Linked DNA regions of Astyanax mexicanus. The protein of the gene in region 4 binds, or shares a complex with, the protein of the main gene of each other region. Links are inferred from orthologs where the notes say so. Each region holds a gene or a part of one and is shown on either strand. Other genes may lie near its edges. The genes, in order: rnf113a, srrm1, sf3b5 and snrpf.

The links.
Region 1: snrpf (region 4) and rnf113a share a complex: the UniProt entries of both Homo sapiens proteins name them as parts of the minor spliceosome. The link is inferred for Astyanax mexicanus from reciprocal best matches to the Homo sapiens genes SNRPF and RNF113A.
Region 2: snrpf (region 4) and srrm1 share a complex: the UniProt entries of both Homo sapiens proteins name them as parts of the minor spliceosome. The link is inferred for Astyanax mexicanus from reciprocal best matches to the Homo sapiens genes SNRPF and SRRM1.
Region 3: snrpf (region 4) and sf3b5 share a complex: the UniProt entries of both Homo sapiens proteins name them as parts of the minor spliceosome. The link is inferred for Astyanax mexicanus from reciprocal best matches to the Homo sapiens genes SNRPF and SF3B5.

The regions. Positions count from the first base shown.
Region 1 is NC_064426.1:20,936,055-20,944,147, forward strand, and holds the start of rnf113a (E3 ubiquitin-protein ligase RNF113A), read left to right. Parts: upstream 1-4,939; 5' UTR 4,940-4,974; coding exon 4,975-5,077; intron 5,078-5,456; coding exon 5,457-5,536; intron 5,537-6,375; coding exon 6,376-6,474; intron 6,475-7,573; coding exon 7,574-7,681; intron 7,682-8,093. Other genes in the region: snrnp70 (U1 small nuclear ribonucleoprotein 70 kDa), read right to left, coding at 618-682, 778-832, 951-1,013, 2,196-2,342. UniProt on the Homo sapiens protein: Required for pre-mRNA splicing as component of the spliceosome. As a component of the minor spliceosome, involved in the splicing of U12-type introns in pre-mRNAs. E3 ubiquitin-protein ligase that catalyzes the transfer of ubiquitin onto target proteins.
Region 2 is NC_064421.1:41,980,109-41,987,813, reverse strand, and holds the start of srrm1 (serine/arginine repetitive matrix protein 1), read right to left. Parts: upstream 3,230-7,705; 5' UTR 3,151-3,229; coding exon 3,130-3,150; intron 1,152-3,129; coding exon 1,062-1,151; intron 948-1,061; coding exon 825-947; intron 819-824; exon of another isoform or gene 1-818. UniProt on the Homo sapiens protein: Part of pre- and post-splicing multiprotein mRNP complexes. As a component of the minor spliceosome, involved in the splicing of U12-type introns in pre-mRNAs. Involved in numerous pre-mRNA processing events.
Region 3 is NC_064414.1:43,716,200-43,724,459, reverse strand, and holds the start of sf3b5 (splicing factor 3B subunit 5), read right to left. Parts: upstream 3,130-8,260; 5' UTR 2,927-3,129; intron 1-2,926. UniProt on the Homo sapiens protein: Component of the 17S U2 SnRNP complex of the spliceosome, a large ribonucleoprotein complex that removes introns from transcribed pre-mRNAs.
Region 4 is NC_064415.1:29,818,551-29,826,674, reverse strand, and holds snrpf (small nuclear ribonucleoprotein F), read right to left. Parts: upstream 3,116-8,124; 5' UTR 2,952-3,115; coding exon 2,949-2,951; intron 2,465-2,948; coding exon 2,339-2,464; intron 789-2,338; coding exon 724-788; intron 370-723; coding exon 303-369; 3' UTR 141-302; downstream 1-140. UniProt on the Homo sapiens protein: Plays a role in pre-mRNA splicing as a core component of the spliceosomal U1, U2, U4 and U5 small nuclear ribonucleoproteins (snRNPs), the building blocks of the spliceosome.

The DNA.
Region 1 (8,093 bases), on a different chromosome or scaffold from region 4:
CCATACCGGACCCAACTACTGAGAAAGATTTAATTCTGACAGTGTTCATTTAAAGCACCGGAACTTTTCTTGTCTTTACGGTATACGCGCAGTGAACTTCCAATCACGTGTGGTGTAAAATCTTTAAATGCTCTCCTCTGCCAATCAAATTTGTGGCAGACCGCTGCCCTGGCTAGTGAATTGGGACGCGGCCGCAAAAAAACGCTTTAATAAAGAGATAGGGCGCAGAGAACTGGCGAAAAACGAAAACGGGCAGAAACTAAAGACACGCCGAGCGCGAGAGAGAGAGACAGGGGAGAAAGCGAGACGCGTGTGATTGGGGAAGAGCGGAGGGGGAATGGGTAAGGGAGCGGTGTGTGTGTGTGTGTGTGTGTGTGGAGGAGATGAGGTGGAGAGACAGAGAGAGAGTAACGCACAGTGACTTAAATAAGTAACTTTAATCTGATTACTGGATTGGAAATAGTAACGCGTTAGATTGCTCGTTACTGAAAAAAAGGGTCAGATTAGAGTAACGCGTTACTAAGTAACGCGTTACTGACATCACTGATTAATATTGTGTCTAGAAGTCTAGAAATTTTAAAATAATCAAAAAAAAGGAAAGGACAAAAAAAACTTACAACTCGAGCCACAAACAAGGTCTTGAAAGCATCTCCTTGGGCATTTGGATCATTATGAGGATCCCCTGCAAAAAGAAATGAAAGAATGAAGTCGGACTGAGTTGGTGCTCAGGCTGGAATGTGTAACTCTTAAGATCCTTAAAATACATTGCATACTTACACAATTTCAGCTCTGTCTCCACTACCGTTTGCCGCCTCTCCATTTTCTCACGCCTCTGTGAAAAGAACACGACATACAGTCATTAAGATAATGCCAGAAAACACAGACAATGTGTCTCACTAGTCCTTGTTAAGCTTTTTTTCTATCATATAAAAACATCACAATATTCTCACCTTTCTCTCCAACCTCTCCTCGCGCGTTTCGGCTCTTGTGGGTGGCGGTGCATCTCTAGGGTCCTGATTGAAAGGAAGGATAAAGATTAAAAACGCAACACAAGATTAAAATAAAATTAATTAATGACCTGTACAAAACCATTACAGTTGATTTACAACTTATCACAGAGGAATCTCTCTAGTTGATGAGGAGCTAAGGTTTTTAAAAATAGGTAAAAAGATTTATATGTTAAGATCCTAATAAATATTAATAATACGGCAATACCTCTAATGACTAGTGGTTTTGTATATAGTAAATGGAGCTAAATGCTAAACCTTCAAATTAAAAATAATAATTTACTACTTGTTCTGAGTACTTCTTTAATTTCAGTAAAAGCAAAGAAAGCTTGCCTATATATTTTAGTTTATCTACAGAAAAAAAGCTTTTACACTGCAAAAGCACTAGCATTACTGGTACTGTGAGCTGATTGGTTGGCAAGCTGAGCCTCGATATACAGGTAGTGCACATTTAAAAGGCTTAAAATTTATGTCTGCTGTACTGAAACATTTGATTAATAGATCCGTGTTGAAGACAGTTATAAAAAAAATAAAAATAAATAAATAAAAAAAGAAATTTTTAAAGTCTGATTTTGCTCAGTTGCTTAATATGAACATATTCATGTTCGACACATTGCAAGTGTGTTTTCTCCTCTATGGAGATTCTCTGGCATGGCATCGCTAGTTCTCATGTGTGTTTAGTCCGGGTGCGCACGAAAGGAAACGTGTTTCTGGAAAGCAGCCAGGTAAGTCTGTGATTTCCCACAGCAAAAAAATTTGCTGTTTGAGATCCGGTGTAGACATTCAGTTGTGTAGTGTCTCAACAACAAGTCGTGTAGTGTGAATAACGCAGGGATGTGTTTTGGACCAATGGTTTTCTCTTTCTCCATGATTTCATTGCCAGTATGTAGCCGCTGCTCCTGACTCCCAGTCGCAGACTGGGTCAGATATCTAGCATGCCAAATACTTGCTGTGAGTCTAATTCATGTTACACAACTGTGCAAGTGCTGAGAGATCCCTGATTTGGCTCTGAGCAGACTTTTTGTCAGCAGTCAACAAAAAACTGTTGGTGACTGAAAAACTGGACTAAAACAGGGTAGTGTGAACCTGGCATAAGTGTTCACACTACATAAAGTTACCTACAAGTGTACTTACATAACATTAAGTACCTACAAGTGTGGCATAACATGCAATTTTACTAATTCATACCTCGAAGTGCTTGATGAAGGGAGCGATCCCAGAGTACGGCTGGTTGTGGTGTTTTTCATGGGGCAGCTTCTCCAACTGTGGCAGAAACGGAATGGGGTCCCGCGGGGCAAACAAGGCCAGCAGGTTTGGGGGCAGAAACTGAGTCATTGTTCACCTAAACAGAGCAGAGAAATGGCCATTTAACAATATTACACAATATTACGATTAAATGTCATTACATTGTAGATTAGGCCAGCAAGGAATTCACAAAGAAACTAAAAACGTCAAACTCTAAAGAACAGGGTCTGAGACCCACTGCTTGATAAAGGTATGGGCCACAAAGAGACTACAGAGACCAGACAAGTAAAATCAACACTATCAGAGAAGTAAACAACCCAATTCCTGTGAGGTAAAAGTATCAATTCAGAACCCAGTTTGGCTCATTAGACACACACAACATTAAGATAGTAAATTAGCGCTAGCCAGCTAGCTTAGCATTACAAAACTCAATACAAGCAAGCTAAGCTAGCTAACACAACACATTTAATCTACATGGATAAATTTAAATTATTTACTCAATTAATTAAGATAAATTAATCCACCAATACAAACCTACATTTAGTGTAAATCCATAAAGAGTACCAAACTGACGCTGAAACCTATATATGTTAGCTAAATAACCTATGTGTGTGGTAGCTAGCGTAGCGCATAGGGCTTGGTTGTGCTAGCTAGCAGCTAGCCATGTTTAAATAAGCGAGCAAAAGGTGCGCCCTCGACCAAGGTCCCTTACTAGTCTGCACTTAGCTAACGCTAACTCGGTTCCAACTAATACTCTTTTTAACTTAAACTAGCAAACATACACTTTATAAGCCACATCATGAAGACCACACGCACCTACTCCGCTTAACTAAAACAAAATATAATTAAATAAAAAAAATTCTAGCCAAACGTGCCCACTCCCAAAGCTTTCTAGAATTTAGTTCACAAGAGCGCGTATTGGAGCACAGCCCGCTTTCTCCGAGGCCTCGTGTCGGACATTAAATTACCTCAGCTCCGCATCCAATCCGCGCAGAATCTCCGAGCTCCGCAAAATAACGACTTCAGCAGCTCCCACAGAGCCTCCCAGTGTAGACTGTTACTGTAACACCAGTCTGTACTGGTCGCTTTCACTAGTTTCGTTACTGCTCAGTTCTCCAGCTCCTCTCCGCGCTGCGCGCTCTCTCAAAATGGCGCCACGCCGTAAATCGCTACAATTCATGAAGGGGCATTGTTTACGACAGTAGTTCACAGTTGGCGGCATTACTTGGCAACGTCAGAAGGTATCAGTGTGTCCCAATTCAGGGGATGCACCCTTCAGAGGCCGTATTGGAAGAATCCTGCCCCTAAATTGGCACACGATGTTTCTGTATTTATTTTTTCAGTGAGACGTATTTTATCTTTATTATGTGTTCAGTACCTTAAATTGTATATGTTGTAATTGCATGTGCGGCATGTCTTGTATTTTTATTTATAAAACAATTACATAAACTGTTTATTTGTACATATGTATGTATTGTATCATTAAATTATAAAATATAAAAAATAAGAGACCATTTAAAAATGAAGAGTTTCTTTGATTTTACCTAATTAACAACCCCTGGATTATAATCAAGAGAAAGATGAATGATCACAAGCCATCAAACCAAGCCAAACAACTATAATTTTTGCACCAGGCATAGCATAAAGTTATCCAAAAGCAGTGTGTAAGACAGGTGGAGGAGAACATGCCAAGATGCATGAAAACTGTGATTAAATAACTACGGTTATTCCACCAAATATTGATTTCTGAACTCTTAAAACTTTTTGAGTATGAACTTGTTTGCTTTGCATTAGTTGAGGTCTGAAAGTTCTGCATCTTTTTTGTTATTTCAGCCATTTCTCATTTTCTGCAAATAAATGCTCTTAATGACAATATTTGTATTTGGAATTTGGGAGAAATATCCATAGTTTATAGTATAAAACAACATTTTATTTAAACATTCACATATAAATAGTAAAATCAGAGACACATATTGAGAAACTGAAGTGGTCTCTTATTTTTTTTCTTGCTTTCTTAACGATTTTTATATTTTTATACTATATTATCTTATCTTCCTGACCTCCACTCATGCGATGGCACTTCTTCTTCATCCTGCTCCTCCTCCTCCTCCTCCTGTCTAGCAGCTGCCAGCCTAGAAGCCAGGCTCTATCTAGTCAACCCTTAAAAAATTTATGGTATTTAAAATAGCAGTTTCCATGCCTGGATAGGTTTTGGAAAACTAGAAATACCCAGAAAGGTTTGGTAAAATTAAAATTTGCAGGCTACATATGTGTGTTTTCATTTATCGACTGAGAAAAGCTATTTTGAGCTAACAAATATATCAGCTCAGAGTTAGTTCTGTATAATAGCCTTACACAATGAAGCTCTCAGGATCTGACACACATTTTATTATTATTATCATAAATTGTGTGAACATTACTTTTTTTTTATTTATAGTTTTAGTTGATTTTTGATTGTATTGTCCGCACTGATGTTTTAAAGATTGTATAGACATGACAATTTGCCTTGGAGACATGAAAAAGTCCTGAAAATGTATTGGTTAAAAAGTGTATAAACCTGGATAAAGTTACAGTAGGTATAGCGCTGCCACAGGCCTGAAACTGCTGCTGTGAATCCGCTGTCGTATATCCGTGCAGTTCCTCTCCAGGCGGCGAGAGGCGCTGTGTTAAAGCTGTAGCTGCTCTTCTGTCTCTGAGTGTAGTTTATTTTCATTAGTTAAAGATGGCGGAATCCGAGGAGACTAAAGCGACCTGCACGTTTTTGTTCAAAAAATCCAGTAAGAAGTTTTCAGCTCGGAAGAGAAAAGCCAGCGACAGCGACAAAGGTAAACTTTATTAGGCGGTTTTTACTATTTTAGTGAGTGTAGAGGGGTTAAATCTGTTATAATACAAGTAATAAATGCTGAGGAGGAGGCGAAGATTGAGTATTTCATATGTAACGTTATGTGTTCTGTTCCTCCGCGGACAGCGCAGCCTAAAGACTGTAAATTATTATGAATATATCTTTATATTGTGTTTATTTATCTGTAAAGTCCGGACGGGTAACTTAGAGCTAGAACAGAACCACCGCTCTGTTTAAGGTGGAATGAGAGATAGAATTAAGACGCAGCTCCATATTTATATCCTCGGTTTTAGTCAGTGTTTGGTCTGAATATAGAGTTTACTCCAGAGAATCAGGCTCAGTAACTCTGCTCCCTGTGTCAGACAGAAGCAGTGATGAGGAGAAGAACGCCGTGGTCAGAAGAGAGAAGAAACCCGTCTCTGCGAACCCCATGTTCCAGAGGGTGAGTGCACTAATCCAGGTCTTTATGGAATACAACGTTGCCAGGTCCAACACAAATATCCAGCCTAAATCAGTCTAAAACCCGCCCTTCAAAAGCTTAAACTAGCCCAAAATATATGTTTGAAGCAAATGGCAAAACAACCGTGAGGTTACGACTTAGTATTTTTTTTATTTAAGGGATTTATTATCAGTATTGCTGTTTATCTTAAAGTAATTAATAATATTGTGACATTAGTGTTTTATTAGTTCCTTTATAACAGTTCTGTATCCCAGTTAGGAACATTTAATAGTAACATAAGTAGCAAAAAAAATTACTTACTCATATCTGTTCCTGCCCCTCCTGAACTCTCTTCTCTCCTATTTTAACGTTTTCTTCATTACCTGGTGATTTCTGGTTACATTGTTAACACCTCTAAATGCGTTATTTTTTGTGCCTGGTTCTGTAACATTGGCCTCTATGAATCTGTGCCCAACTCAGCACAAAGTTCCAATAAAATGGCTCTTAGGAACCTAACTCGGCTCATTAACCAGAAACCAGAATCATCATTCACCAAAAAATAATAAAATCTTCATCAAAACAGGTTGTCGCATATTTGTCTAGGGCTAGGTCTTTGGGTAATGCCAAAAATTTCATAACGACAGACAGTGCATTTTTCATTTACATATCTGCCTTAGATATAACAGCATATCTAATGTTTTAACAATACAGTGTGTGTTAGTAATTTATTTTGTTAATTAGTGTGTTTTCTATTTGCTTTATTATTTTTGTGACTCTGCTTTGCAAGTCCTGTCTATATTTTATGGTTTTAGTTCATTAACCAACCAAAATCCCTGTTTCAGACAAAGAAGGTGGAGCGGGAAGCCGTCTCATCAAGTGAAAGTGAAGAAGACAAAGAAGCCAAAAAGATCACAGTGGCTTATAAATCCACCCGCTCAGCGGTAAGAAAACCTGCCCCAAGAATCAGTATTATGTTTAATTGCTCTTTTTTGTGTTCAAAGGAACAATCAGTAATAAATGGAAACGAGTGTGTGAAATTGGGGTGGGCGATATGGCTCTAAAATAATATCATGATATTTCAGAGTATTTTTACGATAACGATATACTTGGCGATATAGGAAAACTAAAATAATTCATTCATTTCAGGAATATAGTATAATAGTATAACAGAATAATCATAATGTGGCAAAATAAATTATATAGCATAAAATAATATGATGCTGCAAATATTATTGCAGAATATTTAGAGCATGCATATAAACTGCAAACTAAAACAATTATACAATAAATACACCTTAAGCTTCACAGTAAATAATAGACTTCTTTTAAGACAGAACAGCCCTATTATCACGATATGTATTTTTAATATCATGATATTTCTGTGTCAGGATATATTGTATACGATATAATATTGCCCACCCCTAGTGTGAAATAGCTTCAGGAGTTCAATTTTCAAACATTGGAGAGAGTTTTCTGCCCCACCCTCTCTTTCCCAAATGTTGAGCTCGCGCGGGTTGCAAGAACAATTGTCGACGAGTCTCACTGTTTAGCTAATCAGCACATGTATACATTTGTTTCATTGTTCTAAATGCCCATCTATACTACTCTAGTGGTGGTGGTAAATATGCTTAGCAACCTTACTAGAACTCAGTTCAGCCAAAAAAGTAACCAGCCTGTCCATTTCCATTTCACAACCCTGAGTGTGGAAAAGGGAGTGGGGGAATGGAAGTGGGTAGATTTTAATGCAAACTCCCACATAGATTTCCATGAGGTACCAAATAATTAAAATATAATTACAGCCTTATGCTCTGCTCTCAAGAGCTGCCAGTGCTGTCAGAGTTACTATGGAAAATCTAATCCTTAATGCTTTTTTTAAAATGGTATGTTATTCATATTATTGTTTTATTATATTCTAATGCATTCAACCTGCGTTTTTACATGAGCAGTTATTATGATGATGATTTCTTCTTCTTCTTCTTCTTCTTCCTTTTTAATTCTGTTTAAACTTTGCTGATGGGCTGATTTTTATATGTGAAACAGAAACCTGAAGGGCCAGAGGACATGGGGGCAACAGCTGTGTATGCACTGGACACAGAAAAAGACAAAGACGCTCAGGCCATCTTTGAGCGCAGCCAGAAAATTCAGGAGGTGAGGAACAAATCTGTCAGTGATAACTGAATTTGTAGTTAATTTCACAAAAAATTCTCTTCATCTGTTATGCTCCTGTGCATGATATGTATGCTATTGTAAATCAGTTTATAGAGTTTATAGAGCTGGGCGATATGGGGAAAAGGTATTGATTGTACCATGATATTTAAAGATTTTTTAAAGATATGCAGCTCTGGAAATAAGAGACCACTTAAAAATGATGAGTTGAAAAAAATTGAAATTGAAAACCTCTGGAATATAATCAAGAGGAAGATGGATGATCACAAGCCATCAAACCGAACTGAACTGCTTAAATTGTTGCACCAGGAGTGCAGGCATAAAGTTATCCAAAAGTAGAGTGTAAGACTGGTGGAGGAGAACATGTCAAGATGCATGAAAACTGTAATTAAAA
Region 2 (7,705 bases), on a different chromosome or scaffold from region 4:
ACAGCCACCAAAGATTCAAAACCAACTTTATAGTTAGTTAATTTACCAAGACAGACAGCTAAAAGTTAAACACGTCCAGTTTCTAGTTATCTTAGAACTACTTATAACAAACCATTTAAATGCAGGAAAAAATATGCATTTCTAAAAAATGAGCAGTTTTACCTGTTCTTGCAAATAAAGCATATAAAAACACTGTTTTTGCATATAAAGTACAAAATATTGTTAACTATTTACTTCAACTTTTTTTGCTAATTAACATTAAAAAAAATCATGGGATATCTGGTTCTGCACAGTTAGTGCCCAAACACAAAAGCATTTTAAACTGAAATTATCAATTTCAATTCTGGAAAAAAGCAAACTACTAATTAAATTTGACACGATTCTATACGTACAATCCCTGATCATAACTCACCTCCAAAAACAAAGTTCATCATCAAGGGAGAGTTGGGTTCAGTGAGACTTTGGGCTCAGGTGAGATCTAATTAGGTGTTGGTGCTATACTTCTGTTGCAAGGTATTACATCCATATTGGTTCAGGCCTTTTAAATCATAAATCACATCATCATTAGAAAAGACGTCAAAACCCCACAAAGCAAGTTCAGCATCTTCAGCAAGTCCATATGATTCTTTACCCATTTCTACCAGACAGGTGACACTGTGCTGCTACAATAATGGGTTCAAGTTAGACTCTAAAGCACATGTCTGTTGCAATGCCCTTTTCTCCAACCCCTCTGCCATCCAGATGATGTAAAAAGAACAACTACTGCAAATCCTGCCTGCATGTAACCACAAAAAGAGCAGAGGAACAGAATCAATGAAGGCTACCTTCTCCTCCAGCTGGTTAAAAATGAACTCGATGACGACATCGTCCTCAAAGCCAAGGATCTCCGTCACTCGCTGGGTGATCCAGGGCTTGATGACCTCCAGGTTTACCTTTGTCATATCCACCTTAAAGACAAAAAAATTGAAAGAAAATACGTCAAAAAAACAAAACATTGAAAACTAACAGACAAACAAGAACATATGTTCATGCTGTAAAACAAAATAAAAACATTGTCAAACCTTTTTCTCCAGACATTCTGCAAACTTCAGCTGCTTCAGCAACTTCTTGTGTTTGTTGCTGAAGCGATTATCTTGCTCCGCACTCGTTCCCTGCATAAAAGAGTTAAGTGTATGAATTGGAAAGTTATGCAGATTAATTTCAAGGTCCCAGGAAAAACTGACATCAACAACCTTGTTGGTGTAAAGCATGGATTTAAGATAAGCCAAAACCCTGGATTCTTAAAGCGCCTTCAAATCTTCCTTACACATTCCTACTTGTGATACTAAAGTTATAAATTATTTACATTGTGGTGTGGTAGGAAGCCTAACCTGTTGACTAACTTATTTTCTTCTATTTACCCCAAAAATCATCCAAGTTATCTTGCAAATTGATAAATCATTATGAGCATTAGAAGAACACTATTAACATAAGTAGCATGCACATAACAATTCTGTGGAGTGTGTAAGAGAACCAATAACAATTTTATTTAACCCTGCAGTGGTCATGTGTCAGTCATTCCGTTTCCACGATTGAACAAAAATTCCTCTTAACTGAATAGATCATTCTTTTAATATAATTGTTTAATCAATGTAATATTTAAATCCAGCAACTGAATAAAGCATTGCCTCAAAGACATAACTTGAAGCTTAACAATCTGTTTCTTTAAATTAATTATTTCCTTATTTGAAACAAAATTAATAAAAGCAGCATTCCCTTTATTTAACATTGCATTCTATCAATATAATAAATTATTTCCTTAATTTAATAAAAAAATAAATACATTTTAAAACACATTGATTTATGCTCATATTTATTACTTTTAATATATTTGTTTTATTTAACCTGTTAAGTTAAAAAAGAGGGGTTAACGTTTTGACCAGTCTATGTAAGAACTAGTTAACTGTACCTAAATAAATTTGGAAACCAAAAATGTAAATAAGTAAAATTCTCATAAGAAATCTTTAATTCTATTGTTCGGACACAATTGCTTAAAATCTAAAATGTAAGGTATACAATTAGTGTTAAATTATGCATCATAATGTTATGAACAAATGGTAATAAATTGAGACGTTAGTTAAATTATGTTGTAATGGTTAACAATGTCTTAACAAATTTCAGTAAATAATTAGTTAAAACGTTCTGTAGCAAATACTATTAAATAATGGACCCTTTTTATATAGTTGTAAACTGTATATTGGCAGATACACAACTTTTCATATATAACGTTATTTGATATCAGCAAATAATTCCCTTATCTGTACATCCCTAAATATACTGAATTTAAATGGCATAGTCAACTAGTTAACACTAACTATGTTATAGACTCTTACTACATAAAGTTAGCTATAGTTAGTTAAAGTTAGCTGACAAGCTAATTAACCACAGCATTTCCTCCACACGATCTGATGGAAGCACGAGACAGCTAATGCTAGCTACCCTAATCTTACCTGACCTATTCAGCGGTATTCCCAGACTAATTTAACAGCGCCCTGACTCCTTACGTGTTTTCTTTAATCTACAGATAAAGAGAATTATCAGTAAACTGTGTTAAATCCTGGTATTAAAAGCAGAAACAGCGCAGTTTTCTGCTCTGCGAGTGGAAGCTAAGAGGAACGTTAGCTTGCATGCTAACCGACAGGTTTAATGGGAACACAGCCCGGCCGCGCGCAGACCGCCGCTTAAGAGTTACGACTATTCTACACTTTAATAAGATATGTAACCAGATTAAAAGCGTGGCTGTAGATATATACCATCAAGACAAGCGACCTAAAGACATTTACAGAAGTCTGTTATACCGAAATTAACCTATTCAACTAATAACATATCCCCTAGCCGCTCTCTTGCCATTCCGCACTACGCTCGCTCTCCAGGCTAGGCTAAGTTAGCTTGGCTAAGTTAGCTTAGCTAAGCTACCTAAGCTAGCTAGCATACCGGCTAATCACTGCTAGCGCCGCGGTACAGGGCTCCAATACTGCAGTAAAATAAGGCGAATAAACGCCAGGTTATTAACTACATACATCCACAGTAACCCCCTATTTCCTAACGTCCCGCCAAAACGCAGTAAATCCAGCTTGAACGGGAACTTACGCGGAAAAATCCCGCGTCCATTTCCACCGAGAGGTGCGACAAAAACCGTCTGTGGAAAACGCGCTGCCGTCCCCCACAACCCACCGCGCTGCTGAGCTCATTTACCAGAAGAAGCCCGGCCCCGTCCCGATTGGCGCTCTGGATCCCTGCGCACTTACACACTAAGTAGTGCGCACTATTAAGGATATTTTTTCATTGCACTTTGCAATATGCTGTGCACACATATACAAACGGTATAATACATACAATACAATACAAAATGTAATGTATATATATAATATCAATGAGAACATAAACATAAAAAACCCAAACGTTCCATTTCCCCCAATACACTTACATGTCAAAAATCCCATCATAGCTTTTTAGAAATTTAGTGTTTTTTTGTGTCATTAACAATTCTAAAGCTTTACATGATACATTGAATTTCAGTTAAAAAAATGTGAATTTGGGTGTATTCTTCAAAAAAAATGTTCTTCATGAATATAATACAGTTCCAGTTTCAGGAGATTTTTTATTTTATTTAATATAACAAATTATGTCTTTGAGGTAAAAAAGGTAATGTTATACAATTTAATTCAGTATTCATTAAATGATTTAAACCAGTGGGAATAGTTTTAATAACAATTTTACATTCTTTAAATGAAATAAGAAATAGATTATTTCCAATTAAAAATAATAAAAAAGGATATTCCCATCCTTGCTAAATAAAACAAAAACGTTATCTTGATTATACCGTTTAGGGAAAAACAATGATTTTATTCCAATTGTAATAACACTATTATTCCAAAGCACTTTATGAGAAGCAAATGTGGGAAAAACACAGTTTCCAGGCTAACGATATAAAATGTTGCATGGTATATCTTCCAGGCCTGGGTATCAACACCTTTCGAACACAATCCCCAATAAATAATTTTATATTACATGTTTTTTTTTTTTTTAGAAAACACACAAAAAAACAAAACAAATGACAGTTGTTTTGGCTCCTCTAAAATGAGCAATAGTTCAAAAGTATATAATTTACAGTACCGTTTAAAACATGGGACACATCTTTTCCTTTTTAATGTTTTAATTTTTTTCCTACATTGTAAATAAATACTGAAGTCATCCAGATTATGATGAAACTTAAAAGTGTTAAATAAACCAAAAAACTCTGAAACATTTAGATGCTCTTATCTGGGGAGCTGTTAACTTTGGGTTTCTGAGGATGGTAACTCTGATGATCTTATCCTGTGCAACAGAGGAAACTCCTGCTCTTCCTTTCCTGGGGCGGTTCTGATGATCATCATAATGGTTTTGATGGTCTTTGTGACGGCACTTCAGGATACTTTTAAAGTTCTTGAAATGCTCTAAAACACATTAAGAGGCAAGATCAGCACAGCTGTTAACTGAAAGCAATTCCAGGTGACTCTTCCTCATAAAGCTGAGTGAGAAAATCCAGCCAAGATGAGCAAAACTGTCATCTAAGCAAGAGGTACTACTTTGCAGAATCTAAACTATAAAACATTCTGGTTTGTCTAAGACTTTTTATTACTAAACAATTCCCTATGTTTTTTAATAGTTTAGATGGCTTTAGTATTAATGTACAATGCAAAAAGTTTTAAAACAATTAAAAAACGCTGCATTTAAGGTGTCCAAACTTTTGACAGGTACTGTATCGTACAGTATCGTACTGTATCCTACAGTCAAAATCTCATGACTTACCGATTGAAGACGAGCCCTAAATCATGGAGATTAGTTCAGTGAAGGTAGACCAAATTTGACAAGCTATTAACATTGACATAAATATTAATAAGGCACATTTTATTTTGACTTGAAGTCACACTCTTGATATAAACCATTATCCTAAACCCCTGTGTGTAAAGTGTTTTAAACTAGTTATTTTTAAATGATGTATAAAATATAGATAAAAGTGTTAAAGCTGCTTAAACTCAAAAATAAACAATATATGCATATGCTTCATTCCATTTACCCTAGAAGGGAAGAAAGAAAGAAATAGTTAATTAATTTAACTATTAAAAGACGTGTGTTACTTAAAAACATATCTGAAAAAAATGACTGTTTGCTAAAGACTTTGGAGATTCAACTCAATTAACAATCTTTACTAGTGTTTTAAGGCAATTCCTACCAATATATAGATAGATAAATAAATATTTGGGAGGGTTTCCTCAGGAAAATCAGAAGAATGTCCCAGATTATCACTACAAGCATTATCCTAGAGTATCGTAGATCCACAAGATTCCATTTGTTAAACGTCTAGCATGATTTCTATCATCATGCTGTTTTTTTGCTCTTTTACCTTTTAAAATGTCAGAAATCAAAACAGTCTTTGAAGAAATAAAAAAAGAACCTTTCCATTGGGAGAATTTTGTTTTATTTTTTTTTCTGATATAAATTTACACTGCAATTTATTCCCCCAATTTCGGCATGAAAACAATAAGCTAATGTGCCTTCAATATGAAATGTTAACATATTGTAAAGGCTTATCTCTACACAATATCAGTTGGGCCCCCCAAAATCACACCCCATAGATGGAGAAGGAGAGAGTTTCTGTGTATAGTTCAGGAGATGCTCTGTCTCAAACGCTAAATTGTAATACTGAGCAGATTCGTTGTGAATTGTGTTCGTCCCCTGAATTTGGTTCACCTGCTGAATTGACTTTTCTGAAATTGAACTGGCCCCAACTGCAGTGTTTATCCATGGGCCCAGGCCTGTGTAAGAGCTGTTGTCCAGTTTTTGCAGTGTCATATTGGCATGAATTGGCTGGAAAACAAATGGTCTTTGACCTATACATCATACTCACTTATTTGCAAGAGTAAGGCAAAGAAAGAGAGAGGGAGAGCGAGAATGAGCTTGAGTAAGATTGAAAAGAAGTACTTGTATTATCCCAATGACGTTAAACAGCTATATGGATGACGGGACAGAAGAACGTAATTGGAACTTCAGCATGAAAGGCTAGGTTTTGTGAATGGAGAAACAGGGAAATACAAGGCAGCATTTAGTGGTAATTCAGAATGATATGATTGAGTACATTACGGACAAGACCAATAATATTGAACCAGATGGTGCCTGTTTATATTATCATTACTTTGAGCATAAGAGCAGTCTGAATTCATATGTTATTTGTTAAATAAAAAATAAATATCTAGTTATAGAAAATCCACACCACCAAACTAAATGCTAAACTTCTAAGTGCCATAAAAAATAAATAAGGCCCCTAACCAGACAAGACCATCATAAGGAACAACTGTGTTTAAGAGAAGCACCCAGAGCCAATCCCAAACACTGCACTCTGGTCAACACCCTTAAGACTATGTAACCATCAAGCCTGATAGCCGATGATGGTTCCCTGAGGTTACAGGGAATTGAGAGTAAAATCTGTCCCAGAGCAGTCAAACCAAGACAACCAAGTTTCATTACAATACTATTGAACAAAAGCAGAGTAAGAAAATGATAAATGATAATTTTAGGACAGTAAAATATAGTATGTAGAATAACAGAAATATTAGTAGGTTGAAAGTACAATTTGATGGGAAAAAGAAAAAAAAAGTTTTTTTTTGTCCCAGGATTTCTAGTATAACAGCATTATTAGTTTTATTTAACTGACATAATTAAATACATAGTAATGTTTATTTCACTGGGGATAACTAGATATGAACGGATGCTAGTAAAATGTTTAACGCAAACTAAATGCTAATAACCATATTCAGTAACCTGGCTGATAATAAACAATATATTCATTAGAAGAAACAATCAGGCTATATTCATTTGCATAAATGTTTTGTTTAGCCAGCTTACCCTGGCTGCTAATGAGCTACTAGCATTAACAGAGCCAATTAGTTTAGCTTAACCTGACTACTAATGAGCTATATTCTTTAAGCTAGCAAGTTTGGTTAGTTCACCTGGATGCTAATGAGCTAAATTTATTACCATAGAAAGTTAGCATAGCATAACTTCACTACTAATAAGCTATATTCACTGCCACTACCAGTTAGGTTAATTTTCCTGACTGCTAATGACCTATATTCATTAACAGAACCAGTTAGGTTCATTTCTTAGGCTGCTAATGAGCTATATTTATTAACAGAGCAAGTAAGCTTAGCATAACGTTGCTGCTAATAAGTTGTATTCTTTAACACAGCCAATTCTGGTAGTTTAGTTGGCTGGCAATGAGCTATATTTATTACCAGAGCAAGTTAGCTTAGCATAACTTTGCTGCTAATGAGCTATATTCATTAACACAGTCAGTTCTCCTGGATGCCAATGAGCTGTATTTATTAACAGAACCATCTCATTAGGTTAGCTTAACCTGGCTGCTAATAAGCTATTTGCATTAACAAAGCAAATTTGGTTAATTTCCCTTGTTTCTTATAACAAAGCTAATTAGGTTAGCGTAACCTAGCGGCCAATAAGGTATTTTTTTTTTCAATAACAGAGCCAGTTAGGCTAGCTTAACCTGGTTGCTAATGAGCTATACTCATTAACACAGCCAGTTAAGCTATCTTAACCTGATTGCTAATGAGCTATGTTCATTAACACAGCAAATTAGGTTATCTTAACCTGGCTGCTAATTAGCTAT
Region 3 (8,260 bases), on a different chromosome or scaffold from region 4:
ATGCTTAAAGTTTCTCCAAGGACAGTTAATCATTTCGTTGGGTGGATGACAAAATTGAAACTGAAAAAGACTAATAACTCCAAGGCAGCAAAATGGAAGAAATGACCTGGAAAATGGGCAGCCAGACAAAAAGCGCCCCTGAAGCGGCTGCTGGTCCAGCACACTTCATAACCTTCACAGGGCCAGGTGCCAAACACCTCCCGAGATAAGAAATATGACAATAACTCCCTTAAGCATCACTTAAGTGCACAAACGTCCTAAATTTAACCATCCACTATCTTTTTTCCAGTCTTTACCAAACTGATCCACATGTAGCACATCATTTTGTGACTGTAAATTTAAACACACTATGAAGGAGACTTTTCTATGATTCTATGAACAAAACATATAAGTGTGTAATGTTGAAACATGTTAAAAGTTAAATGCATTTAGCTTTTACTTGAGAAGTCAGTTTGCAGTACAAAAAAACAAACAGTATTGTTTTAAAGCAATTTCAGCTTTGTTAAAACACAACATGGATACATTTAGTATTGGTTTTTTTTCCCCCTCATTTTCTTCCGAATTTACACGGCCAATTACCCAACCCACTCATTAGGACTCCCCCTATCATTAGTAATGAATACACCATGAGTCTGCTTCTTTTCGAGCTGCTGCTGATGCAGCATTGCCGAGCAGCCAGCGCGCTCGGAGGACAGCGCAGCTTCTCGGTTCCGGAACATCAGCTCACAGACGCCCTGTGCTGCAGACCATTACAGTCCATTATTAAAATGACCATACATATTATATGTGTTTTCTTTGTGTTCTATAGTGTTGTGTAGAATCCTAAATAGAACCTTTTGGATGAAATGAACGAAGTGTTTTGCTTGGGGAAAACTGAACAATGTAGTCCAACAAAAGAACCCAATGCCATCACTAAAGAACGGGAGTAGCAGCTTAATGGTTGGGTACTGCTTTTCCTCTTAAAGGACAAGAGCAGACTGCCATTAGAGTTGGACTGAGAACAAGTGTTCTCGAGAACAATAGCAGTAGGCCAATCACAGATACCAATCAAACCTGGTAATGAATCATCATACAGCACCTTTCGCAATGTTAAACCAGCAAAGAGTAAACATGCCTCCAACCCCTTCTGCAGGATTTATCACCAATTACTAGAAACGTTGGGTTGAAGTAATTGCTGCTTGAGGGGGTCACAAGATGTTTAATGCTGGGTAATTTTTCTTAATTTATAAATGCAAAGACTTAAACATACATTGTTTATCTTTAATTTGCTTTATTTCATATCTTATTTATTTTATATTATCTTGGTTTATATGATCTATTATATATGGTTTGGTATTTATATTTTATACATCCTATCATTATTATTTAAACTCTCAGTTTCCCCTGTATATCAAGTTTAAGGACCTAATTGTCAATCTTTGCAAGAGCAAAGTATTTGTTCAAGAACTTGAGTTGAGTAGTGAATGGTTGTGTTTATGAAGTTACATGTAGTTAAATTTCCCTCTTTTTTTCAATTTGTAACAAAATTCAGTTGGATTGTAACATTTGCCTATCACGATAAATTAAATTATCAACTTATCAATACAATAAACATTACAAAAAACATTATTGTTTGTACACATGTATGACAGTGTATATATGTATAATGGTCTTAAAATGATAAAATTGTTTATCACAAACATTTTTGGGACCACATATGGTTCACAAAGAAAATCGTATCCTGACAGGGCTATAAAAAAGTTTTACCTCCAATTTTCTACTTACAAATTTAGACTCAAACGGTCAGACTCAAAACTGAACTGTTAAACGTTACACTGAATAAAATTACCTTTAGGCTTTGTTTATTTTGGTTACTCCAATTCAATAGAGTAGGGGTGTGCCATATCGTATCGTACGCAATAATACCGCCACAATTTTTCGATATTGTGAGCGATATTATACCCTGAAATATCGTGCCATATCACCCACCCCCAATTATCACATCAAGGTACAACTTTTATGCTGTTTTTAGCAAAAGAAAAAAAATCACACTGTTCTCATTTCCATTTTATATCTACTAGAGACAGATTATATCTGTCCAGTATCATTTATTTTACTTTAATCCTGGACATATGGAGATATGTAGAACACATTATTAGTACAATGACATTCTGGATTAATTTTGGATTCTGGAGTAATTTTTGGTATTTTTTAAAATCTCAGTTAATGGTGTGCCATATCATATCACATGCAATAAAATAAATAATATTCATTTTCGTGCACTAGTGTAGTAGTTCTTGACATCATTTGAATCATGAATTTTTATTCAGTATTTCGTCATATCGCCAAGAGCATCGTTATCGCGAAAATACCATGAAATATCGTGATATTATTTTAGGGCCATATCGCCCACCCCTACAATAGAGGCTGTATATGCGTTTCTTGCCAGTCTTTACAGCAAGTTAACAGCAAAAATAGGTGTTAGTAAATGATTGTAAAATTACAGAGAGATCACAGCGTATTACTTTATAATAAGAATAGTAATTAATATTTTACAGCTTTCGTAGAGTAAGTTTTGGCCTAAATAAATTCACAATAACTTTGTAAATATTCTTAAAAAAAAAACAAAAAAACATTAACTTTAACGTATGAATAATAACCAAAATAAGAAAGCAAATGAAGTCCATTGCCCAGATGCCCTTATTCTTCTTTTGGTCAGTTAAACTCTGGATGCGGTCGCAATAAATCCGCTCAGCAGCAGCAGCAGAGTAATAAATCTATATTTTATACCTAAACTCCTAATAGCTAAATATCCTAAGAAACTCTGACTCACAATATACACTGCGGCAGCGCCGAGCTCTCCATTATCTCAGCTTAGCATTAGCTCAGCGGCTAAACACGGTCTATTTAACGACATAACATTTAAAACAGGAGATTAAAATCATACCTGGTTGCAGAAATAACCGCTGTGTTGTCTTATCTCACAGTTCTTCCGTTAAAAGTAGATGTTTCGCCTTTATCTCTAAAGTTTCAGAGCTGTTTAGAGATGAAGCGAAAGCTACGAAATGAAGCAGTGCGGGGAGGAACCAGTAACTCTTAAAACGCGCCGAGGTGCAACACAGATCACCCTCCGACAGTTCCGCCGCTCTCCCCGTGTCTCCTCCCACTGCATAAACAATCCGCTATATTATAGTTTCTACAAACAGATTAAATATTCAACACATATTAAGCTACTGTACATATTACAGCTAAACTCACTGCTTACAAAATGTAAATAGGCAAAAAAAGATGAACAATTACATGTATTATTTAGTATTTGCACTACTGTTATTTACCATTTTTACTGTCATTCCATCTCGATCACCATCAATATTGCACTATTGTCTTACGTATGTTTATTGTGTCTTGCTGTATTGAACATATAGTGTCTCCCACTCTTTTATATTATAATTATATATCTATTTTTACTTATTTACTTATATTTATATATCTATTCCTCCCCCACACCACTGCACCTTGTTTTTGTCTCATGTATGTCTATTTGTGTCCCTGCTGTATTGTACACATAGTGTCTCCCATTCTTTCTTTTATTTTATCTATTATCTGTACTTGCTGTAAAATTGGGAAGGAGAGTAACGTAATTTCAATTCTCTGTATGTCCTGTACATATGCAGTATTGACAATAAAACTACTTGACTTGACTTGACTTGTTATGTTTAGTTTTGTACTTAATAACTGTAATATTTGTTGTAGCTTACATGAAACGTACACAATATAAAACATAAAATACAGAATACAGTCAAAAGTCAGGACACGCCTTCTTATTCAATGTTTTTATTTATTTATTTTTTTTGTTTATTCATTTTCTACAATGTAGATTAATATTAAAGACATAAAAACAATCAAGAGACACATATGGAATTAGGTAGTAAACAAAAAAAAGTGGCATAAAATCCCCTGACATAAACCCAACTTTACTTTTGTACTGTATACATGTAATATTTTTTTATACATAAAAAGTAAACAATATAAAACAAAATACAGGATGCATTTATTTATTTATTTATCTTCTACAATGTAGATTAATGTTAAAGACATTAAAACAATTAAGGAACACATATGAATTTATGTAGTAAACAAAAAAAGTGTTTGTTCTCCACAATCCCCTGACCTAAACCTGATCAGCTGAGATGGGTAAAAAACGTGTGAAAGAAAAAAAATAAAGCAGCAATTATTTTTCAGCACCTCATAAAGACACTGAAATTTAAATACCAAGAGTGTGGCACTTAAAATAATCTAAAGTATAAAACATATTCTGGTTTGTTAAACTTCTTTTTACTAAATAATTCTGCATGTGCTCCTGTAAAGCTTTAATATAGTATTCAATATTAAATTTAAAATGAATGTAAAAATATCATAAAAAAGGAAGAAAACACATTAAATGAGAAAAGGTTTGTGCACACTTTTGAATGGTGCTGTATATGCACTATTACTACAGGATATGTAAGATAGAGAGCTTACATATTGCTATATACAGTATTATATTATATTATATTATATTATATTATATTATATTATATTATATTATTAACTGCATTTTTATTCATATCTACACAATCTACAAGATTTCCTTTATTGTGAAAAGTACATTGAGCTGCAATGTGGTTCAGTAAGCTCTTGTTATTTGTAACAGATTTTGCAACAACAATGGAGCACATGTTATAGACACTTATAGTTCTTGTGTTTTTGTTTAAAATGAGAGTTTGTGACATCATGTTTGATACATATCAAGTAAGTAAAGCAACTTCAGAGTTATTATGAAAATAGCAGAGAACAGACTGAGAGGAGTTAATAATATTATATTATTTAATAATGTATATATTCTAGGGGTAACTAAGGAGGCAAAATGGGCTGAATGTTAGTATTTTTTACCTACATTTAAACAAATATAGTGAAAACAGTGTGTGTAACACAGCGTACACTGCACTATATCCTTTTATCGTTTTGTTTTCTCTGCACTTCAGGCTGAAGAGTGAGGTTATAAATGTGCTCACTGGGTTTTTACTTTGTTTAGCTGCTGGCACAAAGCAAACCGTGGCTCTTTGCCATGGATGAATTCCGGCCACATTTGTTTACCTCAGACTTTATTGTCTGAATCAGATTGGCCCTGTATTTTATCAGTCTCTGCAGGAGTACCTTTAAACCTAAAAATGCTGAAATAGTCAAAGCTGGAGACTTCTCTATATTTAATTCAGTTTCAGTCAAGACTGACATCAAGGAGATGTTTTTGCTGCTTTATTAACAAGCAGAAAATATTTATCACATACGTTTAATGGAAATACACAAAAGCCTCAAAATGAAAACATAATATTAGATGTTTTACTATAAAAAGTCCATCCTTACCTTCATTACAGTTTTTACTTTTTAGACCCACCTTACACTGTATGTTTAGTTTTAAATGTTTTAAATGGAGCATTTTCTGCAGCTCAGCTTCTCACATTCAGGTCACTGAGGTCTGGACGCATTGTTCTGAGAACAGCTTTAACAGTTTGATTTAATCAAATGTTCTTTTTCTTTATATATTTTTTTCTTTTTAATTTTCTCACATACAGCTTGTTCACCTCCACCTCCATCCTTTCATCTTCTCACAGATGAAGTACAGACACAAACAACTGTTGTTGTTTTTGATTTCATCTGCTCTCTAACAGATGAAAGCTTTAGATGTGTATATGCTGGGGGACTTATTTTAACCTCATTAAATATACAGTATATGGCCAAATACTGTGACATGAGTCATGGGATAGCAGTATATACATTGATAAGTAGTGCTACTTCAGTGGACAGCTTGGGACCTTCCATAATTGTAATAGTTGCGAGGTGTTACCTTGTCAGTGTCCATGTGAAGAGAAAAGTGGAAGAAATCACATCCACATTCAGTGCAGTAGACCCCACACACATTTCTCACAGGCCAGTGCAGCATTCTTTAGCTTTCAAAATAATAATGGGACAGAATATTCATTCCTGTCTCATGAACTTTGGCATGACCTCAGTGTGTTTGTGGACACCTCTTCTAATAAATGCATTCAGTTGAAGTACTTTAGTTTAAATAGTGTAGGATTATAAAGCTACCAGCATTGAGCTATTGAGCAGTGGAATTGTGTTTGGGAATCTCTGGATTAATCCAATACTTTTGCAATGAGTTGCTTAATGCAACCAAAACCTCACAGCAGTGCTACATACAAATCTAGTAGAAATACTTTCCTGGACAGCAGAGACAGTTAGTCCAACAAAAGCAGGATAAACTGTTTTAATACGCCTGATTTCAGGAGAAACAATGCATGAGCTAGGGTTGCAATATTTTATATTATCCCTCTATGGCATGTTTTTTGGATGTTTGGATTATTTTTTGGATTATAATTTTTTGGATTATTACACTGTTCGTTCAGTTTTTTAATCATTCTTTTTCATATTTATGGCTAATTTGTTTTCATTTACTCATTAAAAACAGTGTTTTTTTATTTGCTGCCTCAGGGCAACAATACGCTGCTCAACCACAACCAAGGCCGTTACACTAAATCAGCGGTTCCTAAATGCTCTGATTGATATATCAAGAGAGATCAACAAAACCTACCAACAAAGAAAAATATCATGCAATAGAGGATTGACATATAGTGTATAATCAGAACAATACATCATTATATCTGTTTTATCTGGTGTGTTTTACTGCCTCAACACTAAACCGAACCTCCATCTGCAGGGTTGTCTGAAACAGGCCTCAGCCTGATGGGCCCACTGGGTTTATCTATTAGGCACAGCAGTTACAGCTCATCAAGTGTTGTCTTGTCTTTGGGGGCGTAATGTCTGAGGGCAAATCTGATTTCCATCCTGATGAGATGAGTCTGCCTGTCTTTCGCCAATCCTGCTTTCATTCTTCTAGTGAAGAGGGATGTTTACATGCACAACATGTTGTTAAGATTCCTCTCATAAGAAAAGCCATTTATTAAACTTAATAAAACACCGGCAAAAATAAACGTGATGCCTATTACACTAATGACAAGCATAGGAGCCTTCACTGTGTGAGACAGAGAGATAGAGGAAACAGTTCCAAGAGGAATGAGTATCAAAAAGGAGCCATTTTCAGGGACATTTTTCATCTGAATGGCTTTCCTCTCTCATTAATGCAATTTAGAGGAAATGAAAGAATGCATTTCATTAGCGCCACAGAAAGCCATAATTCCCCAGTATATCATCCTTGTAATATACAATAATTCCTAATAGGACACGTAGTCTCATTCAGTTTCAGATTTTGTCTGCGAGTTGCTGGTAAGATGAGAAGCTGATTATAATGGCCTTGAATGAACGAAGCTTAGCTGCTCATATTAAGTTGAGGACTGTTTTTTTATGATAATGCAGAAAAGCTGAATGTCATAAACTGGAAATAGAGAAGATGTCTGCAGGCTTTAGTGCTCCAGTGATCTCTGAAGCAGATAAAGTCGTGATAAGGCATCATGTGTGTGTGTCCTGCTCAAGTTGTGCATATCTGATTGTCTGCCATGTTTGTTGAGCACAGATCATCCAGCACTGGGGGATTTGCATTATAGGTTTATGAGTAATAATGGAAAATCGCAGGGCTTATCCGTATCTCAAAAGTCCAGCTTGCTCAGTCTGTGTGTGTGTGTTTCATACTGCCTTTCAAAAAATCATTTTGAGATATTACAGGATGTTTAAACTTAAATACAGTCTTGCTGCAAATCTCAGCATGCAATTCTTTATATTTATAAATTATTACAGGTGTGTTCTGAGTAGAAAGTGGGAGGGCATAAAAGAGCTTCCTCTTACTGCCTTATAAAAGGCTCTCAGACATGCCTCTACAATTTGCTCCAAGATGAACAGAGTTTGATTGGACTGAAGGTAGCAGGATGGGTGTTTCATCAAATTGCCCACTTAAAGCCATATGTCAGCCAGACACCATCATCTCTATTGGTTGTGAATGAGAAATCTGAAATTCTACAGACTGAAAGTGTAGCATCTTTAGCAGTGAATCCAGGTTATGTTTGGCATCCAAAAACAACTGGCTTAATCTGGATAATCTGGAGAGCTCAAGATGAGATCTGGGGAGCTTACATGACAGTTGGATACTCCTAGCAGTGACATAAGCACCTCAGCGTTGCCTCTGAAGACAGGGCTTCCAAATGGGATTTTTCAGCAGGATAATGCTCGCCCACACACAGCAAAGGTTTCTCAGAAAGGTCTCTGTCGGATTGCAACAAACCCTTAGTCT
Region 4 (8,124 bases):
GCAATAAACTTCCATTAAATGTTAAATATTAGCCCCACAGATATAGTAAAAGTATACATACATTGTATTTTACCCTAACCCATTTGTAGTTTAAACGAAAACATCCATACATCTTGAAATAAATTTGGAACACAAGCAAATACAAAATGCATAATTTTATTTGCACACTTGTGCCATCATAATTATGCTTCTATAGTGTACAAAACATTTTAACACATGAATTACAAAAGGGGGAGAAAAAAAAACAATGTTTCACATACAACTAAAACTAAATTATACATCTTTAACTGTAAGCATACTCCTCATTCCCTCATCTCCCCATCTTCTTCCTCCTCTTCTACACCTCTTATATACAAAACATTGTTACACCTGTGAAGGACAAGAAAACAATTAGTTAATTTACATTCTCTCCCCAGTTTACAGATAATTAATTAGTACAGATCTTATATCTCTGTTCCTGGTACATCTGACACAGTTCTATTCATTATACATTTCACAATAATTTGTTTTTGGAAACAGAACCAAAACAATGGATTGGCTCAGGCCAAATTGCTATCTAGCAAACAATTAACATAAAACAGGTTGAGGTTAAAGAAATGCACAATCAACTTAAGAATAAGAGATACATTTTCCACATTGATTGACTGTTGTAGCGAACAAATGCACTACAGTGGTTATATTGTATATGCACTATGCAGCAATATCATCAGTACAGCCACTCACCTGACAAGCACCTCGCCAAGGTGACCTGCTAAAGCTCCATCCACATACTCCTCTGTGTTTGCCAACTAAAGACAAAAATAGAAATATGTTGAATAATTGTAATGTTTATCTACTAAACTAAGCACTTTTTAACTGTCACAATTATGCCCTTGAAGTCATTATAAATACGTAAGATGTTTTTTTTTACTCTGAAGTAAAGCGAAATACACTCTAATCAAATGTACAATCAGTGTTCTTAAAGAATTGAAGGCATACTCAAATAGGTTTAAAAAAAAATACTGTAGGAAAAAAGTATGATAAGAATCTTATTGCCAACCTCTAAAGCATACTGTCAACTCCTGGCACACAATAAGTAAACAAACTTAAGATTTAAGAGTCAAATTAAGAGAACAATGTAAACTGTAGACACTCAAATTTACTCAATACTTCCATTATGGTAACCATAGTTGAACAGCCAAGACATGTTTGATGCCTGAAGTTTGCTTTGCTAGATTTGCTGCTCACCAGCAGAGACACTTATTTCACCCACTACCACAACATTGTGAGGGTGAATAATGCTCTACTATAGGGGTGAATAAAAAAAAAATACCATGAAATACTGTGATATTATTTTAGGGCCATATCACCATATGGCCCTAAAATAATATCACAGTATTTCATGGTATTTTCGCGATAACGATACTCTTGGCGATATAACGAAATACTGAATTTAAAAAATGATTTCAAGAATACACTAATGCACCAAAATAAATATTAAATTTTCTTATTGCACGTGATATGATATGGCACACCCTTAACTGAGATTTTAAAAAATACCAGAAATTACTCAGATTTGTAACAGAAGTCAATGATCCAGAATGTCACGGTACTAATAATGCGTTCTACACATCTCAATATATCCAGGATTAAAGTAAAATAAATGACACTGGACAGATATAATCTGTCTCTACTAGAAATAAAATGGAAAATGAGAACAGTGTGAATTTTCTTTTGCTAAAAACAGCATAAAAGTAGTACCCTGATGTGATAATTGGGGGTGGGTGATATGGCACGATATTTCAGGGTATAATATCGCTCACAATATCGTATTATCGCGTGCGAAACGATATGGCACACCTCTACTAGTAGAAGAGCCCCAACTACCCAACATAACAAATTAGCGGGTGAAGATTCAGTGTTACAAATGTAAATAATTACGTAAATGGCAGTTCATAATAAAAGCAATAAAACTACTCACCCCGCTTCCCTGAACTGTATCATAATATATAGAATCAGGCTTTCCAAATCCTACCGAGACTTCTGCCGCGAGAATTTTCAAATATGGCGTTTTTTCTCGTATTTTTAAATACGTTAAATATACACCGCGGTAGCGCGGTTTCACATGGTAGCACAACTCGTCAAAACACCGGCTCTTTTTAGTGAGCCGAACCAAAAGAACCGATTCTCTAGCTAAAAAGAGTCGGAATTTCGAATCACTAACACAAACTCCAAAATAATCCTACACCAAGAAGGGTAACAAAAACATGCTGGAGATATTGTATAGCTAGACAATTATTCTCTAAATTACTGTACATCAGTTATGGACCAGGGTAAAGTGTATTTAGAATAACGTTACCTGCATGTTCATGTATCCATCCACTGATACCAGGTAACCCTTGTACTCCATACCCCACTTCAGCTTCACCATCACGGGCTTTCCGGTCAGACCGTTCAGGAACGGCTTCGGGTTCAGCGGTAAACTCTGTGGAACAGAAGGGGAGTACAGCGGTTCAGTCTATAGTTAATAAACATAGTGGGGCTTTACTCCAGCAGACTGAGCAAGCTGTAGTAGCTAGCTAACGCTAACACTAGCTTCGCTAAAGTTCATTCACGAACACTACGTTTCTCTAACGTAAGTTAGCTACTGCTACACAGCTAGCTAAAGCTAACTTGCTAAGACTATTACAAACTGAATATATTGTTACACAAGCAAAGACTTCAGACTTAAACCACATTCAGTTCACCCATAACACAGCATTAACTAGTGAAAGTCTCATCTGTATGGTATTTTACTTCAGTCGCTTTAAACTAACTTACTTTAAATGAATGAACTGCTGCAGCGGGTCAAAGCAACCGGTTAGCATTAGCATGCTAGCTAACCACAGCACTCAGGTCCTCATCACTGTAATCACAGTTTTAAACTAAACCCGACCGTGTGGTTAAAGGCGGTCACGCTGAGTACTCACCATGTTTAATCAAAAAATATCAGGCTTCGGAAAACCTTCAAAAGTGTTTCATTCAGACGCTTGTGTTTCAGAAGCTCACTCGCACGCCTTGCCGCCAGGAAAGGGAAGGACCACGAGTGAAGAGTCGAGCTCTGACCCGCAAACAATAGAGCCGCCCGTACCACAGCGCCCCCGCGCCGCGCCGGAGGAGCTTTACAGCGGCTACACTTCATCACGACCAACAGGGGGCGCCCGGTACAGAGTATAGAGGAGTGAAAGATAACTCACTTATTATACAGCTCTAGAACAAACATTACGAGACCTCTTCAGTTTCAGAATCGGTTTATCTGATTTTTCTATTTATAGGTATATGTTTCAGTAAAATGAACATTGTTGTTTTATTCTATAAACTACGGACAACATTTCTCCCAAATTCCAAATAAATTATCGTAATTTACAGCATTTATTTGCAAAAAATGAGAAATGGCTGAAATAACAAAAAAGATGCAGAGCTTTCAGAACTCAAATAATGCAAAGAAAACAAGTTCATATTCATAAAGTTAAAGTGGAATAATTCTTCTCCACCAGTCTTACACACTGCTTTTAGATAACTTTATGCCACTCCTGGAGCAAAAAGTTCAAGCAGTTCAGCTCGGTTTGATAAGCTTTGGCTTGTTATAAGGTTTTCAGTTTGGTAAAATCAAAGAAACCCATCATTTTTAAGTGGTTTCTTTTTTTTCCAGAGCTGTATATCTGCAGTGAACGGAGCCACATGACAGGGCACGAGGGAAAACATTACATTGGATTTTACATGGGTGACAGGGGGAGAGGAAAGTCGTCTGAGTTTTTTTCTTAGATTAATAAATTAGATAAAAATATATAATACTTTACTGTACATTCCCACTCCTGCACACTATTAACACTTACATACAGCAGTATTTTGTATATATCCTATAAGGTATAGTTTATTTTTCAAGCCTCAGTTAGCATTTTCTATAGTTTTAGGTTTCTCACGGTGCTTGTACTATCTATCTATCTATCTATCTATCTATCTATCTATCTATCTATCTATCTATCTATCTATCTATCTATCTATCTATCTATCTATCTATCTATCTATCTATCTATCTAATGTTGTTCTCTTCAACCGCATTACCCGCTCTGGCCTTTAGATGGCACTGCCATTCAAAAAAATGAATTCGCCGTTCAACATTTTTATTATTATTTTAAAACTCAGTCCCAAAGGCAAAGTGAGTAAATAAAGACTAAATAACAAAATGCTTAATTTACGGTTTTACAGTAGGGACATTTACGAGATGCATTATGCTGGGTAGTACTTATGAAGAATCTAAAGCCACCTACTTAGCCTGGTAATTACGTGAGGAGTTGAATCAGGTGTGCTTGAGTAGTCCACCTTCCGAACACTGGAGGGTGACCCTCCAGGTCTAGAGCTGCACTACTTTTGGGAACTTAAACAACGACCCAGATGGGACTCAAACCCACAATCCCCAGCTCCGGAGGCTGATGCCTTATCCATTAGGCCACTGGGCCACAAACACAGTGTGTTTCACTGCCCCTTAAGGCTAAAACCTTTTCAAACAACTATTTTATGAAAATAATGTAATATCTTATCTTATTGTTTCATGTAATGGGACAGTTATTAAGATATTTTAGTGCTACTTGTATCATGTATGTTTGAATATGAAAATTATTTATAATCATACATTTAAATGGCTTAAATGTAATTCCCAGCACATTTCAATCTTGTTTACACTTGTTGGAGCACCACCTTAAATCATATACCTATCCAGTTGTTCAAATTGGTAAACCAAAAATACCACATTCATGAACATTTAAGTATTTTCCTCTTTTAAAACATGCAATTCCTGACTGGTCGAGTCACATGTGTTAGAGCAGGAAAAACACAAAAGATCAGCCCCATTAGACCTTCCATGTATTTTCCTGATCGTTTCCACAGATTACTAGTACAATTATACAGGGGACACCTTCTTAAACATGTAGTTATTTATCATTTATACGTGGCCTTCAAACACATTTCTCAGTGGTAACTTAAACAACAACCCAGATGGGATTCAAACCCACAATTTCCAGCTCCGGAGGCTGATGCCTTATCCATTAGGCCACTGGGCCACAAACACATGTTGATTCACAGCCTCTTGAGTGCAAAAACCTGTTAAAAATTATTCATTACCCTTATGCCCTTACCTTGTACTCATTATAGTCCTGCACCCTGAGGGTAAAGAGGCAAAAATTTACCCAAAATATTTTTGAGTGGGAACAACTATACAAATAAACAACGAACTGTTTAACGTTCTGTTTTACAGAAGGGACATTTAGGAGATACACTATAAAATTACTTACACTGGAAATCATTGCATGGCTGCGTCCAGAAACCCCAAAAGTGTCTCAAGAGGCTGATGCCTTATCCGTTAGGCCACTGGGCCACAAACACATGTTGATTCACAGCCTCTTGAGTGCAAAACCCATGCCAAACTATTTTTATTACCCTTATTCCATTACCATATACTCTTTTCTGCACCCTTAGGGTAAACAGGCAAAATATACATTGAAATTGAGGTTTATTGAAACAAAAAAATCTCAAAACATAAGTATTTAACCAAAATGTTTATGAGTGGGAGCAATTATACAATGAACTGTTTAATCGTCTGTTTTACAGAAAGAACATATAGAAGATAAATTATAAAAAATACACATATCATTGCATGGGTATTACTTATGATGAATCTTAAAGTGAGTTTGGCAGTTGACCTACTTAAAGCCACCTACTTTGCCTGGTAATTCACTGAGGAGTTAAATCAGGTGTGCTCTGGTCTGGAACTGTGCACCCCTGTTGGGAACCTAAACAACGACCCAGGTGGGACTCGAACCCACAATCCCCAGCTCCGGAGGCTGATGCCTTATTCATTAGGTCACCGGGCCACAATGTCTTGGTAATTAACAGCCTCTAGAGTGCCAAACCCTGTCAAGTAATTATTTTTTTCCCTTATGCTCTTACCTTATACTCTTTACAGTCCTGCACCCTAGGGTAAACGGGATAAAAGGATAAATTAAAATTGAGGTTTATTGAAACATCAATCACAACACAGAAGTATTTACCCAAAATGTTTATGAGTGGGAGCAGCAATAAAATAAAAAAATAATTACACTGGAAATCATTCCAGGGGTAGTACTTATGAAAAATCTAAAAGTGAGTTTGGTTGCTGGCCTACTTAAAACCACTGACTTTGCCTGGTAATTAACTGAGGAGTTAAGTTTGGTGTGTTTTGACTATAGTCCAAGGGCCAAAGTCTAGAACTGTTCACTCCTATGTGGAACCTAAACATCGACCCAGGTGGGACTCAAACCCACAATGGCCAGCTCCTAGAACTGTTCACTCCTATGTGGAACCTAAACATCGACCCAGGTGGGACTCGAACCCACAATCCCCAGCTCCGGAGGCTGATGCCTTATCCATTAGGCCACTGGGCCACAAAGACATGTTGATTCACAGCCTCTTGAGTCCAAAATCTTAAAAAAAAGATATTTTATTACCCTCTAATACCCTTATGTTCATATTAATGCTAGTTTTTTGAAGTATGTTTGACTGTGTATTCGAAATGTAATTTGATTTGACTTTTATTTATTTATAAGGAAAACAATTTCAGTATCTGCATATTATATTTAAGAACTAACAGTATGTTGCTGTGCAAAAAAAAAACAATTGTCTTGATTTCTGTAGATTTTTAGTTTACTACATAATTTGGACACACAAATTTTCCCTTATTTCCCTTATATGTCAACATTCCTTGATGTATGCACAAATAGAAAATCTCCAAAATTACCAAAAAAAACCTCTTTTTACATTGACTTCCATATTAAAAGTTAAGATGGTTTCACCTCTTTTCTGAAAAGTTGCTGTTTTGGAGATACTTGTTTTTATTGGACAGTAACAGTATATGGAATATATAGAACCAACAGTGAAGTTACTTTTTATCTTATGAGTTTATGAGTTTTATACGTAATTTGGAATCAGGTTTGCACCCACAATGTGACTTATTTATGTTCTAGGATACATAAGTAACACACAGATGATTGTGCTACAAGGATCTTCAGCAGCAACAAAGAGATTGTCAAAAATATGCCATTTTGATTACATTTGATAACTATAATTATACATTTATGTCATTCCAATTACATTTCAATCTGCTTTACAACTTAATGACTGAACATGAGGATTCACAGCCTCTTGAGTTCAAAGCCCTATTAAACAATCATTTATTATACTTATTAACCTTACTCTTTTCTGCACCCTGAGGATAATCTGGCATAAATCAACCCATTTATCAAAAATTCAGCATGTTTCAGGACAATCCAGAGTGCAGCATCACGTCTGGTCTTCAATCAGCCAAAATGGGCACATCACCCCACTGCTCATTGAGCTCCACTGGCTACCAGTTGATGCTCGTATCAAATTCAAAGCTCTTACAATCGCCTACAAGGTGATGACAGAACAGCTCCTTCCTACCTGAAGACAGAGCTCTTCAAAGAGCACTTACTCTCTTAACACCTATAACACACTAACTACTGCTAACCTCATTTCCTTTTCCTTTCCTCTACTCCTCTGTCCCATTATTTCCCTTTGACCTCCTTCAGGCCCTGTCTAAAGATGTTTTACCTTTAACGTCTGTTACTTTTGTACTTCATTAGTGTAAGTCACTTTGGACAAAAGCGTCTGCCAAATGTAATGTAATGTAATATAATGTTAAAAATGTAGCTCGGAATTAGATTTGGCTCTTTTACATGTTTTTTACATTGTATACTTTCCAATGACAATCTAAGACATTGTGCTGAAATACAGAAGCACTGCAGGAAGGTTATGCATAAAAGGCCAAGAGTAAACAAATTGACCAATCGGATGCTTATAAAGCCTGGTCTGAAGTGATCTTCTTAATGTCTGCATTTGAGAAGATAAGAGCTTCTGAGGTGTTCAGGTTTTAAAATATTTTTTTGTAAATTAATTTATGTTTTCAATTTTCATTTAAAAAGTACTTGTCCCTTCATCCATTTTTGTACATTTGTGACACTATATGGTTTCAAAAGGAGAATACATTTTTAAAATATGATTTCATCTATTAGAAAAGGAATCACAGTGTGCAGCACCTATATAATCAAACTT